Canis lupus familiaris: one gene and its partners. Each later gene encodes a partner of the first gene's protein in a complex. Links are inferred from orthologs where the notes say so. Each region holds a gene or a part of one and is shown in the gene's direction. Other genes may lie near its edges.

Region 1 (4,236 bases):
TCATGGTTCCTCCCCACAGAGATTGACGCTGTGGCTGCCAAGATGAAGGTGAGTGTGTTGGTGCTGACAGCAGGTGGGAGCTTGATGCTGGGGCTGTGTTGATCCCGCTGGCAAGCCCCATAAATCCAGCCTGGCTCTAGCTGAGGGGTTTCTTTTTCTTTTTTCTTTTTTTAAAATATTTTATTTATTTATTTGTGAGAGACACACAGAGAGAGACAGAGACACAGGCAGAGGGAGGGAGAAGCAGGCCCCATGCAGGGAGCCCGATGTGGGACTTGATCCCAGGTCTCCAGAATCATGTCCAGGGCTGAAGGCGGCAAGAAACCTTCAGCTAAACCGCTGAGCCACCTGGGCTGCCCCGCTGAGGGGTTTCTTGCTCCTGGGAACCAAACTGGCTCACTCCTCCCACAGGCAGGAGGGTAGGCCAACAGGGCAATCTGTCTTTGCTTGTTCCTTTTCTGGCCATGTATTTATCTTGTTTCCTTGATTCTGATGGTAACAGTGCCAGGAAAGGAACTTCTCAGATGTTACTCTGGGTTTGATTTTCCTTCCTTTTGGGAGAGGAAGCCATTTCTCTGTGGGACTCCTGTTCTGTCTGGTTTCCCAGTTCTTGTTTGATGTGTTTTGGAGTGGAGCCCAGTCTGAAATTGTAAGCATTGTGGTCTTATGTGTGCAGGACAATGCCAAGTACTTTGTATGTGTTCTCAATTTCTCTGTGACCACACAAAGTCCCTGTCACCTCTCATCTGTAAACGAAGAAGCTAACTAAGGTTCAGAGGAGCTTGTTGTGCTTAGGACTTGAGGTCTTAAGTAATCTCATTTCGGTAATTTGCCTTCACTGAATGAAGGTATAGGTGCAAAGAGGGCAGGCTGGGAATGGGACTTTGTCATCCAAGCTCCTAATGGGATATTGGGTCCTGGGATATTGACAAGTTCAGCAGGGATAGAATAAAAATGAAGCAGATCCAGACTCTTTGCTGGCCCCCGTGATACTGAAATATAATTCTTTTTTTTTTTAAGATTTATTTATTTATTTATTTATTTATTTATTTATTTATTTATTTATTATAGACACAGACACAGAGAGAGAGAGAGAGAGAGGGAGGCAGAGACACAGGCAGAGGGAGAAGCAGGCTCCATGCCAGGAGCCCGATGTGGGACTCAATCCCGGGACTCCAGGATCCTGCCCTGGGCCAAAGGCAGGCGCCAAACCGCTGAGCCACCCAGGGATCCTCCTGAAATAGAATTCTTTACTTAAATTTCTATAGGACCCTTAGGGTCATCTAGTTCAGCTCTTTAAAAGTTATTGATAGGGGGATGCCTGGGTGGCTCAGAGGTTGGGTGCCTGCTGGAATCCGGGATCAGGTCCCGCATCGGGCTCCCTGTGGGGAGCCTGCTTCTCCCTCTGCCTGTGTCTCTGCATCTCTCTCTCTCATTCTGTCTCTTGTGAATAAATAAATAAATCTTTGTTTTTTAGATTTTTTAAAAAAATTATTTATTCATGACAGAGAGAGAGGCAGAGACACAGGCAGAGGGAGAGGGAGAGAAGCAGGCTCCATGCAGGGAGCCCCATGTGGGACTCGATTCCAGGTCTCCAGGATCACACCCTGGGCGGAAGGCGGCGCCAAACTGCTGGGCCACTGGGGCTGCCCAATAAATTAATCTTAAAAAAAAAAAAAGTTATTGATAGGAAGGGTGCCTGGCTGCGTCGATAGAGCATGTGACTCCTTTTTTTTTTTTTTTTTTTAAGATTTTATTTATTCATGAGAGACATAGAGAGAAGGCAGAGACATAGGCAGAGGGACAAGCTGGCTCCTCATAGGGAACTCGATGCGGAGACTCTATCCTTGGACCCTAGGATCATGCCCCGAGCCAAAGGCAGAGGCTCATCCGCTGAGCCACTCAGGCATCCTAGAGTCTTGATCTCAGGGTCGTGACTTTGAGCCCCACATTGGCAGTAGAGCTGACTTAAAAAATTCCTTAAATTAAAAAAATTACTTAAAAAAATAAAGTCTCGGGCTCCCTGGGTGGCTCAGAGGTTTGGTGCCTGCCTTTGGCCCAGGGCATGATCCTGGAGTCTTGGGATCGAGTCCCATATCGGGCTCCCTGCATGGAGCTTGTGTCTCCCTCTGCCTATATTTCTGCCCCCATCCCCCATGTCTCTCATGAATAAACAAATAAAATCTTAAAAAAAAAAATAAAGTCTCTTAAAAGTTATTGATGAAGGAATGTTTCAGACAGTATGGCATGAGGACTAGTAGCCTCAGATGAAAATGGAGATGAGGAGAGAGAGCACAGGGACCAGATTGAGAAAGGGGACAGGGCTGTGGAGGTGGGCCCCAATGTTCTGCCTTCATCAATGCCCTCACTTCAGGCCTGGCCCTGTGCTGCAGAGCTGACTCCTCTTTTCAGATCTTCATCAAGACTGCCCTGGGGCTGTGCTTTGAATTTCACTCTTTCCTCTTGGGCCTTGCTCTCTCACTCCTACCCTCCCCAGACCTCAGGACACTGGGAGAGAAATAATGGACATTTGTCTTGGGATCTTGGCTTGCATTCCCTGTGTCTGCTGCTCTCTGACTGTGGTTGTGGGCTTGCTTCCTTGCTCCTCTGAGAGTGCTTTGTCATTTCTGAAATGAGTATATAAGCATTCCACACATGCTAAGGGTTATTTTATTTATTTATTTATTTTTAAAGATTTTATTTATTTATTATTCATGACAGAAACAGAGAGAGAGAGGCAGAGACACAGGCAGAGGGAGAAGCAGGCTCCATGCAGGGAGCCTGATGTGGGATTCGATCCCAGGTTTCCAGGATCAGGCCCTGGGCTGAAGGCGGCGCTAAACCGCTGAGCCACCTGGGCTGCCTGGGTTTTTTTTTTTTTTTAATTAAAAAATTTTTAAAAAAGATTTTATTTATTCATGAGAGATATAGAGAGAGCGAGACAGAGACACAGGCAGAGGGAAAAGCAAGCTCCAAGCAAGGGAGCCTGATGTAGGGCTCAGTCCTGGGACCGCGGGATCACTACCCGAGCCGAAGTCAGATGCTCAACCGCTGAAACGCCCAGGCATCGCCACACATGCTTAGGATTAAATGAAGTTATTTTTATGAATGTACCTTTTCTCTTGGGCCTTTCCTATAGGAGTCCAAAGGGGAAGCCGTGTGATTTGCCCTGAGGTGGAACAGAGAAGTGAAATGCTGTACTGTTAAGAATCAGTGATAGTTCAAAAAGGGAGGGAACCGAAGGCTAAACCTTTATGATAGAGGTGGTTAAGGGAGGCTGAGGCTGGTCAAGGCAAGTGACTCTCCCAAGGTCATGGAGAAGTGCGTGGTGGTCATGGTTTGACGTGGGCTGGATTTTGTAAGCTTTTGCATCGGAGTGTTGATACCTTTTGTCTGTTTTCTTTTGCCCCCTTCCCTGTAGTTTGCTCTGAGTTTTTGGCTGCGGGCTGGTGTGGATGGGTTCCAGGTTCGGAACGTGGAGAATCTGACGGTAAGTCCCTTTTCCCTGTGAGAGGCAGAGCCTGGGTCAGAGCAGAGGGACTTTCCAGGGCTTGGTAGTGTTTGCTCCTCCTTGACTCTGCTTTTTTTCCTTCTAGGATGCATCTTTGTACTTGGCTGAATGGCAGAACGTCACCAAGAGCTTCAGTGAAGATAGGTAGGTGCCAGACCTCCCCTGCCAACTCAGCTTCCCCATGGGAACTCCTCAGCTGAGTGCTAGGCCCCAGGAATGGGGGGATCCCTAGTCCAAGAACCTTCTTCACCTTTTTTCTTTTCTTGCTCTTTACAAACTTTGTCCTATTTTCTTGCTCTGTGCAGGCTCTTGATTGCGGGGACTGAGTCCTCTGACCTTCAGCAGATCTTGAGCCTACTTGGCTCCACCAAAGACCTGTTGTTGACTAGCTCATACTTGTCGAGCCCTGATATCACTGGGAGGCATACAGAATTCCTAGTGACCCAGTATTTGAATGCCACTGACAATCGCTGGTGCAGCTGGAGTGTGAGTACATAGTGTGGAGTAGAAGGCGCAGAAGGAGGCCTTTTAGAGGAAGGGGTGTTCACGGATGGAGGCAGAGGTGGGCTTTGGGGCTCACCAGTGCATCCATTCCTGCAGTTGTCTCAGGCGGGATTCCTGACTTCCTTCGTGCCGGCTCATCTCCTCCGCCTCTACCAACTGCTCCTTTTCACCCTGCCCGGAACCCCAGTTTTCAGCTATGGAGACGAGATTGGCTTGGAGGC
Region 2 (4,716 bases), on another chromosome or scaffold:
TTACAATTATTATTCAAAGGAGGTAAAGCTAGGTAGGACCACAGAACTTACTCAGATTTCTTTTATTACAATGTGGGTAGTTAGTCTATAAAAAATAGAGTAGATATTATTTGTTGCAGAAACTCAGAAACCCCGCGCATTTAGTGAATCCCAAAGCCCCTTTTCAATATTGTTGGATAAGCTACATATGTAGACTTAAATTTCTGTGTAAAGACACGAGATGAAACAGCACTTCTAGTAACTTGAGGAACTTTACCGTGCATCTGTACTGGCTTCCTTGTTACTTGGTAAGTTGTATCCTTCAGGGTCATTTTTGGTGTACCAAAAAATGAGTGTAATGTCTGGATATTCAGATAAAGTGGGGTTTTGAGAAACCTTTAAGAGGAATCAGTTTTAACTAGAATTTTTACTTTACCTGCCTGAGAGGAAAGCAAGGTAAGATTATCAATTTATAATATTTACTGATTTTGTCTTCCGTTTTTCTAAGAAAACTTTACAAAATAGAAGAGAAAACCCCCGTATGCTCATTTTTTTCTATTTCAACAGGCATTAAGACACACTCTGTTTGAAAGTAACAAATCCTCTTTCTTCTCAATTATAGAAGTTCGCCAAATATGAATGCTTCTTTGTCTCTCCTCTCTCCTTTCTCTTCCTTCCCTCCCTCCCTTTCTCCTTTCTCCCATCCACCTTTCTTTTCTCCTTCCTCCATTTCCTTCCTTCCTCCTTTCTTCCTCCCTTCCTTCTTTCTTTCCTTCCTTCGTTTCCTTTTTCTCTTTCTCTTTGTCCTTTTATCCTCTATAAAGAGAAAAATTGGGGAGTACTTTCAGAAATAGTGTTTTAGGTTTTAGGAGCTCTATTTAAAAGAAAACAGTGCTCTTTTGTTGGTAGTAGGAACATGAGTCCAATTTTTTTCAGGCCAATGCTGGATCTCCTTAACTAAAAAAATCATGCTTTTTATATGATGACTCATTTATCACAGAATCATTTGCATAAAAAAGGAAAGAATAAGTGGATGATGAAGTGGAGAACAGAGTTGCATTAAATTATTTTCAGTATGTAAGTGCTTTATATTGGAGAAAGAAAAAGAATTTTATTTTTTATCCTTCCTCTGATAAAGTAATGCACTTTGCTATTAACAATAGCAAATGCTATTAACAATAGTCCTGCCTTTTAGCTTCAAGCACAGGTAAAATATTTCCCTAAGCCTCCCGTGGAGATTATTTGGGGTTCCAGTCTTCCCTGATCATTCTCAATCATTACTCCTTTGAAACATTTCTTCATTAGTAGCCCCCTAATTAACTTTATATGGGATCTTCTGATCCCTTATTTTCCCATCTTTGACTTTTTCAAAAATGAAAATTGTTGTATTGATTTTTCACTAAAAATACTGCATGTCTGTTATTAGAATTATTATATGCAGGAAAAGAAATAAAAATAGAATATTCAGTATTCTATCATCTATAGATACCTTCTATAGATGAAGTGTTTGTTAGTGTTTTGATAAACACTCTTTCAGATTTTTTCCCTTCATTTCTTTCTGTCTTTGTGTATTCATCTATCCATCCATCCATCCATCCATCCATCCTTCTCTCCGTAACTTGCTGTACTGGTCAGTAATATATCATGAACATCCTTTCATGCAATACATATTTAACTGTATCATGATTTTAAATGACTGCATAGTAAATCATTAAAAAGATATACCTTAATTAGCCTTCCTTTAGAAGGCTTCCTTTAAAAAATTTAAAAAAAAATTTGCTTGCACTAATTCTAAAGTTCTAAAATGAGCTAGTGATTATACAAGGCAATGGAAACTATGAAGATAAGGGATGATTGTATAATAGGAAAACTTCCTATTGCAACTAGAACGATAAAAACCGTGTTTTGTTTTGTCCCCTGAGAAGTATGTTCATACAATTGGGTAATTTGTTTAGGAGGGATATACTTCTATAAAAGTAAAGCTTATAGATAATAACTGCAAATGTCAGGTATGAGCAGCTTTGGGTAGGGATGAGGGGGTGTGTAAATACTTAATATAAACTTCTGGAAAGAGTATAAAGTTGAAATCTGTGGTTTAGAAGAACCTGCAGAAGTCATTCCAGCCAAGTATAGGAGGCAAGGTCTTAGAGTATCACCATTAATTTCATGCCTTCTTGGCTGAAGTTAGTTTTTTTAAACTGAGGATTCATTTATTCAACAAAATTGTGTTGATTAGCTTTCTGGGCCAAGCATGGAGCTGGACACGAGCATACAGGGATAGAAAATGCTTGTTCTATCCCTAGGGTTCTCATGGGCTACCACTGGGGGAAGACTGGATAGTTGAATGCTTCTTAGGAAACTGCAGACGGCGTCATTAAGAAAGGGAAATTCTGATGGCTTCAGAACCAAGGTGTGTCCTAGTCCGGGAACTCTTTTGAACTCATTACTTATAACTTTTTTCCTAAGTCCCCAAACACATCTCAGAAGTCTATATTTTTAAGGTAGGTTGAAAGTCAGTCCTTCCGGTGCTAATTGGAATGTAGAGAGGAAAACCAGAGTGCTGGCTAGGGCTAGTTCTGAGAGTGAAGAATAAGGTACTAGACAACTTTTTGACGTTTTACCATTTCTTGAGTGATTCCATACTGGCAGGTGCGTATGTGTAACATCATTATAGGAGGAAATAGTTGCCTGACTTACCAAGCTGGAGAGTCATATTCAGCAATTTGATTGCATATTATGATGACTTCAGGATTTGGTTAGAAGGTATTTATACCTGATTTTTAGGAAACTACAGTATATGCCCACTCTTACTGACATATACAAGGACCGAGAGATGAATTTTTACTGTCCAGGGTTTTATCTAAGCTTCTTCAACTTCAATGTGCATAAAAGTCACCTAGACATCTTGTATTTAAATCTGGGGCAGTGCCTGAAATTCTGCATTTCCAAAATGCCTCCAGATAATGCCAACTTTGCTGGTTAAATGGATGGCACTTTGAATAGCAGGGACCTAAGGTGTCTTCATGCCAATGAGAATTCACCTTTTGTAACTTCATCTATTTGTTTGCAGCTGTAGTGATGGTCCTCAACAGCATGAGTGTCAGCTGGAGCGCCCGGATCCAGATTTTCCTAACCTTTTGCAAGCTCACAGCAATTCTGATAATTATAGTGCCTGGAGTTATGCAGCTAATTAAAGGTATGGACTGGAAAGTAAATGCTTTTTAAAATACGTATCTGCTTTTGATCTTTCCTTGCACTAACTTTCGCTTGTCCTAGCAGAATCCCTTAATTAGTCTCGTTTCTGGAACTTAGACTCTACACTGTCATCTAATTGATTTGAAAGACTGCTGCATGGTGGTGGTGGGGGGGGCGGTGCATTGGTATTTACAGCTGAATGGCAGCAAGAGAATTAAGACTGGCCAACCAACAAAATAAAGCATCAGTGAATTCTATCCATATAAACTCTTTGGAGTGAGAACTTGAAGTGGAAAAACAAATCTGCCATTAGTTTTAACTACTGACAACTATACCTCTTACATTTACTTTAAACTAGTTCATTAATATAATAATAATAATAATAATAATAATAATAATAATAATGACTAAGGAGAAAGGATATCTGGAAAATAATGAAAGATGACCATAATTCTTTTACTCTATGGCTATAACTGCTTTTACCTTGAGAATAGAGTCTTGACAGAAGGAGAGATTATATGGGAAGAGCATTCCTAAAAACCAAATATTATCTGATAAAAAATGTTGTAAAAACTTAATTTTTATTGTTACATTATCTTTAAAGTAAAACATTCATTTCTATGGATATGTAATATTATTTGGGGGGAGTATTTGCCTAATAGATTTGACTGTTTAAGAGGAAAAGATGAAATGGTTGAAGAGGTGATGTTATTTAGAGTTTCAGTTATTCTAGGGAAGAAGGTACATGTAATTGCTTGAATCCAGTGGAACTTGTTGGAAAAGTATGAGATCCAGGTGAGTTATTTAATTAGCAATGGACTTAACAGTAGAAAATAGGAAAGTGAGATGGAATTGTGAAGGAGTGACATAATTTAGGAATGTTAAGTATTTAATGTTTACATTGATATTGTCCATTCCAGGAAAGGGAATTTATAGAGAAGTGTTATGAAGTTGTAGGAGAAGAATTACACAAAGCAAAAGGAAATGCCCAAATCCAGCAAAATCATCACTGATGGTAGAGGCCTCAAACAATAACAAACATTGAAAGATCCGTCACTCTGTAGCTAGGGAAAAGGAGCTGCTATTGTCCATTTACTAATGGAAGATCTTAGAACTCTCCTGGCTAAATGGTTGAATCAAATCCAACAAGTTCAGCCAACTCAGAGTAAACACAATAAAGATTTTAATGCTATGCCCAACACCAAAGAGAAGACATGAGCTTGCTCTTCTAATTCACATTGGCCACCACAGAGCTGGCCTGCTCATTTTATCTGATCCATTATAAATATAGAGAAAATAACCTGTTTTGTTAGTGCTTTCTTTTTCTGGCTAACTCTTCAGTCTTCTCTAAGGAGTTTCTTCCATTTTTGGAAAGTGCAGAGACCCTGAGTCATTGACCCTACTTTAGTTCTAGTTTAGGTTCCAAAAGATGATATACTGTTCCTTAAAACTACGTTTTTTTCTTTCTTTTTGATGTAAAACTGTAGTCATTTTTTTTTTTACCACCTATTTATATATGTATGTGAGATGAGGTGAAGTTTT
Region 3 (3,937 bases), on another chromosome or scaffold:
CCTGCACAGACCTGCTGCCTCCCGGGGCTCAGCCTGCTGCCGGGACCCTCGTGCTGCAGCCTGGCCCCGCCCCACAAAGCCGTGTTGTGGCCCCTTGCCGGGCCTCAGAAACACGGAGTGTCATTGTCCCACTGTCAATGGACCCGACGGTTTGCATTTGACCAAAATGTGTACACAACACGGCCCCCAGGGACAAAGCCCATGGCTCCATCTGATGCTCAGTGGGGGGTCCCAACAGTGACCAGTCGCAGCTGGGGCTGGCGCAGATAGGGCAGCCCCAGGGGACCCCGGGTCTAGGGACTGGGCCCTAGGGACACTTTTCAAGGATCTTCATGGCCGATTGGGCCTGGATGTGCTTTTCTCTTCCTGTGCCAGCACTAGACCTGCCCCCCCAGAGTTTGATGCGGCCCTTTCCCCACCCACCTGCCCTTCCTCCACCAGTCTGTGCCCAGACTGGGGCCCAGGGGGGCCGCAGGGAGATGGCGGTGGTGCCCCTTACCTGTCCCAGGGCCCACAGCAGACCCAGGAGATGGAGATTCAAAGCGTTCCTGTGCTGGGTCCTCCGGGCGCTGCCTCCCAGTCTCCCCGCAACCCCGGGGGCTGCCACTGACCAGGAACCTACCCACTGCTGCCCCCAGGAACCTACCTCGTGCCATTGTCATCTCCATCCCACTGGTGACCTTTGTGTACACCTTCACCAACATCGCCTACTTCACGGCCATGTCGCCCCAGGAGCTGCTGTCCTCTAACGCAGTGGCTGTGGTGAGTGGGGTCCCACCTGTGCCTGCCTCCCGCCCACCCCGCCCTGCCTCATGCACCACCTCTCTTCTGTGCCCACTCAGACCTTCGGGGAGAAGCTGCTGGGCTACTTTTCTTGGGTCATGCCCGTCTCCGTGGCACTTTCCACTTTTGGAGGGATCAATGGCTACCTGTTCACCTCCTCCAGGTGACCGGATGGGGAAAGGGGTGGTCAAGGTGAGGCAAGGCAGGTAGCCCTGGTGCTCATGATCAGCGCCAGGGGCCGGAGGAAGTCAGATCCCGCCCGGTGGGTCCCAGCTGAAGCTGGGACAATGAGCTCCCCAGTGACAGGAGTCCGACCCCCGCTCTGAGGTACAGAAAGCAAAAAGGAGGCGGGACTAGGTGGGGAAGAAGTGCCCGGTGGGGCTCCTGGGGCCCGGAGAAGGCAGGGGCCGGAGGTGACAGCTCCAGGGGGACATCGGGTCTGGAGCTGAGGTCCGGGAGCTGGTTGGCGGGACACCCAAGGCCGGGCTCACGCTCCCGCCCCCATCTCTGTCCCAGACTGTGCTTCTCTGGGGCCCGAGAGGGGCACCTGCCCGGCCTGCTGGCCATGATCCACGTCAGACGCTGCACCCCCATCCCTGCCCTCCTCGTCTGTGTAAGTCGTGGGACCAACTGGCAGGGACGGGAGCCTGGCCCTCGGGGGTGGAGGGTGGTGCGGGCCACAGAGGGAGCAGGGAGGGCCGGGGCTCACCAACCTCTTGGCCCGAGCCGGCGGGCCCAGGGCGGCCCACGGGGCTGACGGAGGCAGGTGGGAGGCCACCCTCAGCCCGGTCCTCTCCCAGTGCGGGGCCACAGCGATCATCATGCTTGTGGGAGACACGTACACGCTCATCAACTATGTGTCCTTCATCAACTACCTCTGCTACGGCGTCACCATCCTGGGCCTGCTCGTGCTGCGCTGGAGGCGGCCAGCTCTCCACAGGCCCATCAAGGTGAGGCCCGGGGGAGGACGGGCTGGCTGTCCCCCCGCCTTAGGTCACCTGGGTACCGGGGGCAGGTGATGACAGCGATCGGGCCCTGCTCCGGGCTGTGTGTACACCGACCTATTCAGCTCCCGTGTCAGCCCCACGAGGTGGGGGCTTTCGATACTCCCAGTTTACAGACAGGAAAAGGAGGCCAAGATGCTTGCTCCTGGTCACAGAGAATCCCAGGAGCACACAAGGACAGCAGAGCCCAGACTAAGCAAAATGCAAATATTGTGTCTGCATATAAATCCTGGAGCTGGAGAAGTGCTGCTCAGTGCCTGAAAAAATATGAAACACCAAAAAGAGAGAGAGAAAAAAAAGAGATATAGGGAGAGAGTCAGATGCAAGCAGCCAGTGACACATAGTTGCCGTGTGGAGCTCAGAGCCACTGTAACTTTGATAAGTCGTTTGACAAATCAGCCATCCCATGAGTTGGCTTCTAGCATGTTGGGCTGCTGCCAGAGGGGGACCCTCAAGCCTCAGCTCCCAGGAGAGGGTGGGAGGCACCTAGGACCCTGTCACCCTCACGGGGTGGTGGAGCAGGAGAGCCCAGGGAAGGTCCCACGCCATTGGCCCTCTGGCTGGCTGATCCCCAGGTGAACCTCCTCGTCCCTGTCGCGTACTTGGTTTTCTGGGCATTCCTACTGGTCTTCAGCTTCATCTCGGAGCCCATGGTGTGTGGGGTCGGCGTGATCATCATCCTCACTGGGGTGCCTGTTTTCTTCCTGGGGGTCTTCTGGAGAAGCAAACCAAAGTGTGTGCACAGACTCACAGGTGAGCCGGGGCCGCCTCCCCAAGGTGGTGGGCGTCGGAGTGCGTCCCCTCTCGGGGGCTTGCCCTGGGGCAGGGCCTCCCCGCAGCTGCAGTGGTATCAGGGTCCAGCTGCCACCGGAAGTGTCCCCAGGAGGTGGTCCAGTGTCCAGAATCCAATCAAAGGGAGCAACTCCCTGAGGACCCCTGCCCCACAGGGTCAGACCCAAGGTCTATCTGTTTGTCCATCTGTCCTCAGAGTCCATGACACGCTGGGGCCAGGAGCTGTGTTTCGTGGTCTACCCCCAGGAGGCCCCCGAGGAGGAAGAAAACAGCCCCTGCCAGTCCTCCCCGCTGCCTGCCACGGACAAGCCCTTGAAGACACAGTGAGACATTGGTGAACCTAAAGCAGCTGTTTCTGTTTACATGTTGTTTATTGAGGAGGTGTTTTTGCAAAATAAGTTGTGTTTTTTTGTTTTGGGTTTTTTGTTTTTGTTTTTGTTTTGTCTTGGAAAAAAAAAAAGAGATCCGACTCTTTTAAGGCCTATGCCAAGGGGGACCCCCGAAGATGTGGACGGGGCTCCCTGTCAGCACCGCCCCACTCGCTTTTCCTGAAAAGGTCTATGAATAAAACGGGGCTGGTGGGTGGTGTGCTTGTCTCAGGTGAGTCCCTGGTGGGCATGACTTGGCGGGGCTGGTGTGGTGCTGGCTGCCAAAGTGGCTCAGCAGACGCCGCAGGAGGCCTCTGGCATCTGGGGGCTCTGCCCCGTGAGCCAGGCACTCCCTCTCTCCCTTGTGGGGTCCAGAGCCAGCCCTGCCCCAAAAGGACACCGGGATTGGGAGACACCTGGTGTGCCCCTCCCGGGGACCCGCAATGCCAGCCCAAGGCTCAGCCACCCGGGAGGGCCTAGGCGTTTCTGCTGGAGCTGCCTTTCCCCCCATAAATCTCCGTAGAATGAGCGTCAAGACTTGGGGGCCCATGGCTTCACCCTGCTTTACAGGGGAAACTGAGAGCCTGAGGCAGAACAGGATGGATCTGGCCACTGTTAGTCGGTGCTCGGCCACTGTCTCCTGAGGAAGCTTCTAGCAGCATCTCCCGGGAGGGGTTGGGGGCCTCAGGGCCTGCAAGAGACCATGGGCTTTCTCTACCCTGTGCCCACATTCCCAGCCCTCATGCCCAGATTAAGCTTGCAGCCAGAGAGCGAAGGGCATCTGCCCGGCCAGGCCCATGCTGACACTGCAGGCATGAGGATGGGCCGGAAGCCTCCTCGCCTGCCCCTCCGGGCTGGCTGGGGGGATGGGAGGAGGGCTGAGCACCAGCACAGGGCCCGCCCTGGACTGGCTCCGTCACACCCGCCGTCCTGTGCAGTCGGGCACAGCTCTGGCGCCCCGGAGGGTGAATGAAGTGAGAAGCCACGGAA
Region 4 (3,827 bases), on another chromosome or scaffold:
AGCCCAGCCTTTGCCCTCAAAGGTACTTCCCTGTGGATTGAAAAGAAGGAGGATGCCCTGATTCTGGCGAGCCACAGAGTCCACATAGCTAATAGCACGTCTGCTCCACAGATCAACCTGCTGTTCCCCATCATCTACTTGCTGTTCTGGGCCTTCCTGCTGATCTTTAGCCTGTGGTCGGAGCCCGTGGTGTGTGGCACTGGCCTGGCCATCATGCTGACGGGAGTGCCTGTCTATTTCCTGGGTGTTTACTGGCAACACAAGCCCAAGTGTTTCAATAACTTCATTGGTGAGTTGTTAAAGGCGCCGGGTAGCTAGAAGATCTCCTCATCTGGGTTAGGTCTCTTGGTCTAGGAGGCTTAGGCTTAGTGCACAGAGCTCTGGAGAAGAAGATGAAGCAGGAAAGGGTGGGTGCCTTCCCAAGAGACTTCTGAGGAGAGGAGAACTGCTGGTGTTTGCACACAGACCCTAGTCTTGGAGGCATAGGCAACCTGACAGCCATTCTGCAGGAGCTGTTCTGAGTAGAGGCCAGTGGGGAGCCTCGAACTGGTGGTGCCCAGGCTTAGGGAAGGTGGGAGACTAGGGCAGTCTGCTGGCTGCCTGGAGACCCAGGAGGAGACAAGGTGACTGTCTCCTGGAATAGGAGTCTCCTGAGGACACTGGGAGCCCTACTGAGGCAGCACCTGGCATAGGGGAGCAGAGTGAGGCCTTGAGGTCTGCTTGGCCGGGTCGGTGGGATTCTCAGCACTGACCTGTTGGGTAACCTCCCATAGAGTCGCTAACCCTGGTGAGCCAGAAGATGTGTGTGGCTGTGTACCCCGAGATGGATGCGGGCTCGAGGACAGAGGAAACGAATGAGGACACAGAGGAGCAGCGGCAGCCCATCTACCAACCCACTGCCTCCAAGGACAAGGAGCAGCCCCAGCCCTGAGGACTGCCATCCCCTCTCAGCTGGCTCCTCCCTCCTACACTCCCTCTTCCCCTCCTTTCCTGCCTAGGTCCCCCCAGCACACACACACACACACACACACACACACACACACACACACACACCTCTGCTTCTGTCAAGCAGGGGCAGGACCTGGGTGTGTGTGATAAGAAACTATAAACAAAGACATTGACATTTGTACCCAAAGAACCAGCCTCTCAGCACCAGGGCCTGTATCCAACACCCTCACTAGGGCTGCTCTAAGCAGTGGGAGAAGTGTGGAGCTGCTGGGGGTACCCTACAGGGCCTTCCGCACTCCTCCACTTGCATCCTTGGGAGCCCAGTTCAATACTGCCTTCCCCCCACCCCATTCCTGAGCCCAACAGAGGCCTCTGCTCAGAGAACTGGAACAGAACAACAGTGAATCAGTTGGGGAGGGACAGACTCAAGCAAATCTGTCGTCATTAAAGGTCAGCTGGAGAGAGCTATATCACCCTCCCTTCACTAGGGACCCAAGAAATCAGAGCGATACTTCCCTCTCACCCTCTCCTCTCCCCCTCCTCATGGTAACATACCCCCACCCCAGCTTGGGCTCCCTGTCCAGAGCAAGGTTCCTGTCAGGACACCACCTCCCTACTGAGCTATGGACCAATGAGCAGGAGAACTGCCCCCTCCTCCTAGCCCCAAGCCAGGCCTGTGGAACAGATTGGGAAAGGCTCAGATTGCAGAAACCCAGCCCTGCCCCTCTCTCCTGCATCCTGACCCCCACTCGGTGCCAAAGCTTCTTGAAGCCAGAAAGTCTTCTTATTTTCAATGTAGTGGACGTTTCTCTCCTAATGGCAAAGCTGCTCAGCTCCTCCTCCCTCCCTGCTCCACCGAGGAGCGGTCACTCCATTACCCCTGCAGCTACACCCCCAACATACCCCCATGGAGCCAGCACTGCCAGCACCCCCATCATGCCCTCACCCTCCTCTCCGGCTTGGCTGTGGGACCAACCGGTGTGAGGGCTCCCTCAGCCCTTCAGGCCCGAAAGCCAAGCCAAATCAGCCTTAAATCGCCTCCCATCCAAGAACTGGACCTAAAAATACTCCCTGATTTCTAGCCCTCAGGACAGACTTGGTATGAAAAACCTTCCTGGAATGGAGGGTGCTTTCTCACCCACCTCCCAGAAGTGCCCATCCCCTAACCTCGGAGACTGGGGAGGGAGTGTCTTCTGAAGGCCAGTTCCTTCTTCCTCCCCCAACCCCAACACCCCCCTTTCTGGTCCCACCGCTGCCCCCCTGTCTTCAGACAGCCTCCCACGCAGGATGAAAGGGCAGTGGCTGAAGGTACCCATCTTGGAGACACGTTCTCTTTGGTATATGGACTTCTGGCCGTCCTGTGGGCAGAGGGTGCCTTTCCCTGCCCTCCAGAGGAAGGCCACCGTGTTTACCCTGGGCCTTGCAGCCTCCCTGCCATACCTGCTGTGCTAAGCAGGAGTCCCCCCTTCCCTACCTCCGCGTACTATCTGCTTAGACTAGAATATGTGGGGAATCCTCCTGGCTTGCTTGGCTCTCCCAGCTTCCCTCCTCACCTGCCTGACACCCCTACCCCCACAAGGTTGGTGAGATGTCAGGTTTAGTTTGAGTTCTGGTCCCTTCTGAGTGGACCCCAGGTGGGCTGGGGCTGGCCCCTGGCGGGTCAGGGGACCATCCTCTTGTTCCCTCTTCTCATTCCTCCAACCTCCATCCCTCCTTCAATTGTTGGGGTTTATTTGTCTGTTTGTTTCATAAAGTGAATGCCTTACTTTTTGGATAAATATTTTTGAAGCTGGCATTTTTATTTCTTTTGGATTTTTTAATGTAAGGTTGTTTGGGATGGGGAAGGCATTAGTTATACCTGGAGAATAATCTTCCATTGTTGAGTTGGTTCAGAGTTAGAGTTTGTTTTGTGGAGGGTTTGTTTTTTTTTTTTTTTCTTTTGATGTAATAAAATTTTAAATGGAAATGAAGGTGGTGGTGGTGACAATTCAATGGTCTTCTGAGACAGAGTCCCCAGGCATTTCCTATCTTCATCAGGAGGTCTCTGGTTGCCAGGTTCCTTCCAGGATGACATTCCCAAAAGCCCTTGCTCTGTCCCAGGGACCCGGTGCCAGCACATTCAAACATCTATCTCTCAGGTTTTGGGGGGAGGAGTTGGTTTTTGTTTTTTAACTACCTCTCATTTCTTCAGTGAAGTCACAAAGTGTTAAGTAAGTTCCTGCTCTGTGCACTGCATTGAGAGCCTGGAAACTAGCTAGGGAGAAGAACCGCGTTACTGCACAGGTGGGAAGGTGGAGGACAGCACCGAGCTGAGTGGGGGGAGGCAGAGGCAGAGTGGCTCCAGAACTGCTCGGCAAAGACTTCTGGCCCTGGGGCAGCTGGCACCAAGTAGGAAAGGAAGGGACAGGCTGAGCCTGTGGAGAGATGCCAGGGGGACTTAGGAAAGCACCCAGCCAGACCCAAGGGGTTTGACAGGAGGGATTAGGAGGTGAGGCGGAGTCCCCTCAGCTGCATGGAATCGAATGAGAGAAACGTGTCTAGTCAAGGACTAGGAAGGCTGTTGAGTGAGGACAAAGGAACAGGTACAGTAGGGACACATCTGCTGGTGATTTAGGGTTAATTGCTGGAGGAAGTTGATGGGATTAGACCCAGTCCTTGCTTGGAGTGCCTCCTTTGTGGGCAGCTCTCCCTGTTGCCTGACCTGGGGTGGCAGTACTCCAGAGACAGCACTTCTGACAGACATGGGGGGGGGGGTGTTTGTTATGACATCATCCTCCACCATCTGGGATACGTGAGGACACAGGCAGACAAGACGCCTCCACTCCCAGTCCCGGGCCAGCCCCAACACTCCTCATCTGTGGCTGGCATTCTTCTAGAGG

What was found.
Region 2: the proteins of SLC3A2 (region 1) and SLC7A11 are in contact, whole or in part, in a cryo-EM structure (PDB 7P9V), measured with the Homo sapiens proteins. The link is inferred for Canis lupus familiaris from reciprocal best matches to the Homo sapiens genes SLC3A2 and SLC7A11. Residues at the interface, in NP_002385.3 of Homo sapiens: Glu167, Leu170, Ala173, Trp178, Thr181, Arg182, Phe189, Trp190, Trp193, Met196, Leu197, Gly199, Ala200, Ile203, Ile204, Ala207, Arg209, Cys210, Glu212, Leu213, Lys299, Arg534, Gln559; in NP_055146.1 of Homo sapiens: Leu151, Phe154, Phe155, Ile156, Gln157, Cys158, Glu159, Pro161, Leu163, Ala164, Leu167, Ile168, Ala170, Val171, Thr174, Val175, Val178, Gln217, Gln219, Val360, His373, Thr487, Gln489, Ile490, Ile491, Glu493, Val494, Val495.
Region 3: the proteins of SLC3A2 (region 1) and SLC7A10 are in contact, whole or in part, in a cryo-EM structure (PDB 8WNT), measured with the Homo sapiens proteins. The link is inferred for Canis lupus familiaris from reciprocal best matches to the Homo sapiens genes SLC3A2 and SLC7A10. Residues at the interface, in NP_002385.3 of Homo sapiens: Phe161, Thr162, Gly163, Leu164, Lys166, Leu169, Leu170, Val172, Ala173, Trp178, Arg182, Leu186, Phe189, Trp190, Trp193, Met196, Leu197, Ala200, Ile203, Ile204, Ala207, Pro208, Arg209, Cys210, Arg211, Glu212, Leu213, Arg534; in NP_062823.1 of Homo sapiens: Leu147, Val150, Phe151, Asn153, Cys154, Pro157, Ala160, Val163, Leu164, Met166, Ala167, Met170, Leu171, Trp174, Ser352, Val359, Glu481, Thr484, His485, Trp486, Gln488, Glu489, Leu490, Phe492, Val493, Val494, Tyr495, Gln497.
Region 4: the proteins of SLC3A2 (region 1) and SLC7A8 are in contact, whole or in part, in a cryo-EM structure (PDB 7CMI), measured with the Homo sapiens proteins. The link is inferred for Canis lupus familiaris from reciprocal best matches to the Homo sapiens genes SLC3A2 and SLC7A8. Residues at the interface, in NP_002385.3 of Homo sapiens: Thr162, Gly163, Leu164, Ser165, Lys166, Glu167, Leu170, Ala173, Gly174, Trp178, Arg182, Leu185, Phe189, Trp190, Trp193, Met196, Leu197, Gly199, Ala200, Ile203, Ile204, Ala207, Arg209, Cys210, Arg211, Leu213, Lys532, Arg534, Asp558, Gln559; in NP_036376.2 of Homo sapiens: Leu147, Leu150, Phe151, Pro152, Thr153, Cys154, Phe155, Pro157, Ser159, Gly160, Leu163, Leu164, Ala166, Ile167, Leu170, Leu171, Trp174, Gln294, Ser352, Met356, Val359, Glu481, Thr484, Leu485, Gln488, Lys489, Met490, Cys491, Val492, Val493.

The regions. Positions count from the first base shown.
Region 1 is NC_049239.1:54,327,857-54,332,092, reverse strand, and holds part of SLC3A2 (4F2 cell-surface antigen heavy chain), read left to right. Parts: coding exon 1-48; intron 49-3,421; coding exon 3,422-3,490; intron 3,491-3,596; coding exon 3,597-3,655; intron 3,656-3,816; coding exon 3,817-3,997; intron 3,998-4,111; coding exon 4,112-4,236. UniProt on the Homo sapiens protein: Acts as a chaperone that facilitates biogenesis and trafficking of functional transporters heterodimers to the plasma membrane.
Region 2 is NC_049240.1:5,032,692-5,037,407, forward strand, and holds part of SLC7A11 (cystine/glutamate transporter), read left to right. Parts: intron 1-3,049; coding exon 3,050-3,175; intron 3,176-4,716. UniProt on the Homo sapiens protein: Heterodimer with SLC3A2, that functions as an antiporter by mediating the exchange of extracellular anionic L-cystine and intracellular L-glutamate across the cellular plasma membrane.
Region 3 is NC_049222.1:119,764,385-119,768,321, forward strand, and holds the end of SLC7A10 (asc-type amino acid transporter 1), read left to right. Parts: intron 1-638; coding exon 639-762; intron 763-842; coding exon 843-946; intron 947-1,299; coding exon 1,300-1,396; intron 1,397-1,583; coding exon 1,584-1,733; intron 1,734-2,362; coding exon 2,363-2,540; intron 2,541-2,775; coding exon 2,776-2,906; 3' UTR 2,907-2,996; downstream 2,997-3,937. UniProt on the Homo sapiens protein: Associates with SLC3A2/4F2hc to form a functional heterodimeric complex that translocates small neutral L- and D-amino acids across the plasma membrane. Preferentially mediates exchange transport, but can also operate via facilitated diffusion.
Region 4 is NC_049229.1:3,551,833-3,555,659, reverse strand, and holds the end of SLC7A8 (large neutral amino acids transporter small subunit 2), read left to right. Parts: intron 1-111; coding exon 112-289; intron 290-773; coding exon 774-931; 3' UTR 932-2,825; downstream 2,826-3,827. UniProt on the Homo sapiens protein: Associates with SLC3A2 to form a functional heterodimeric complex that translocates small and large neutral amino acids with broad specificity and a stoichiometry of 1:1.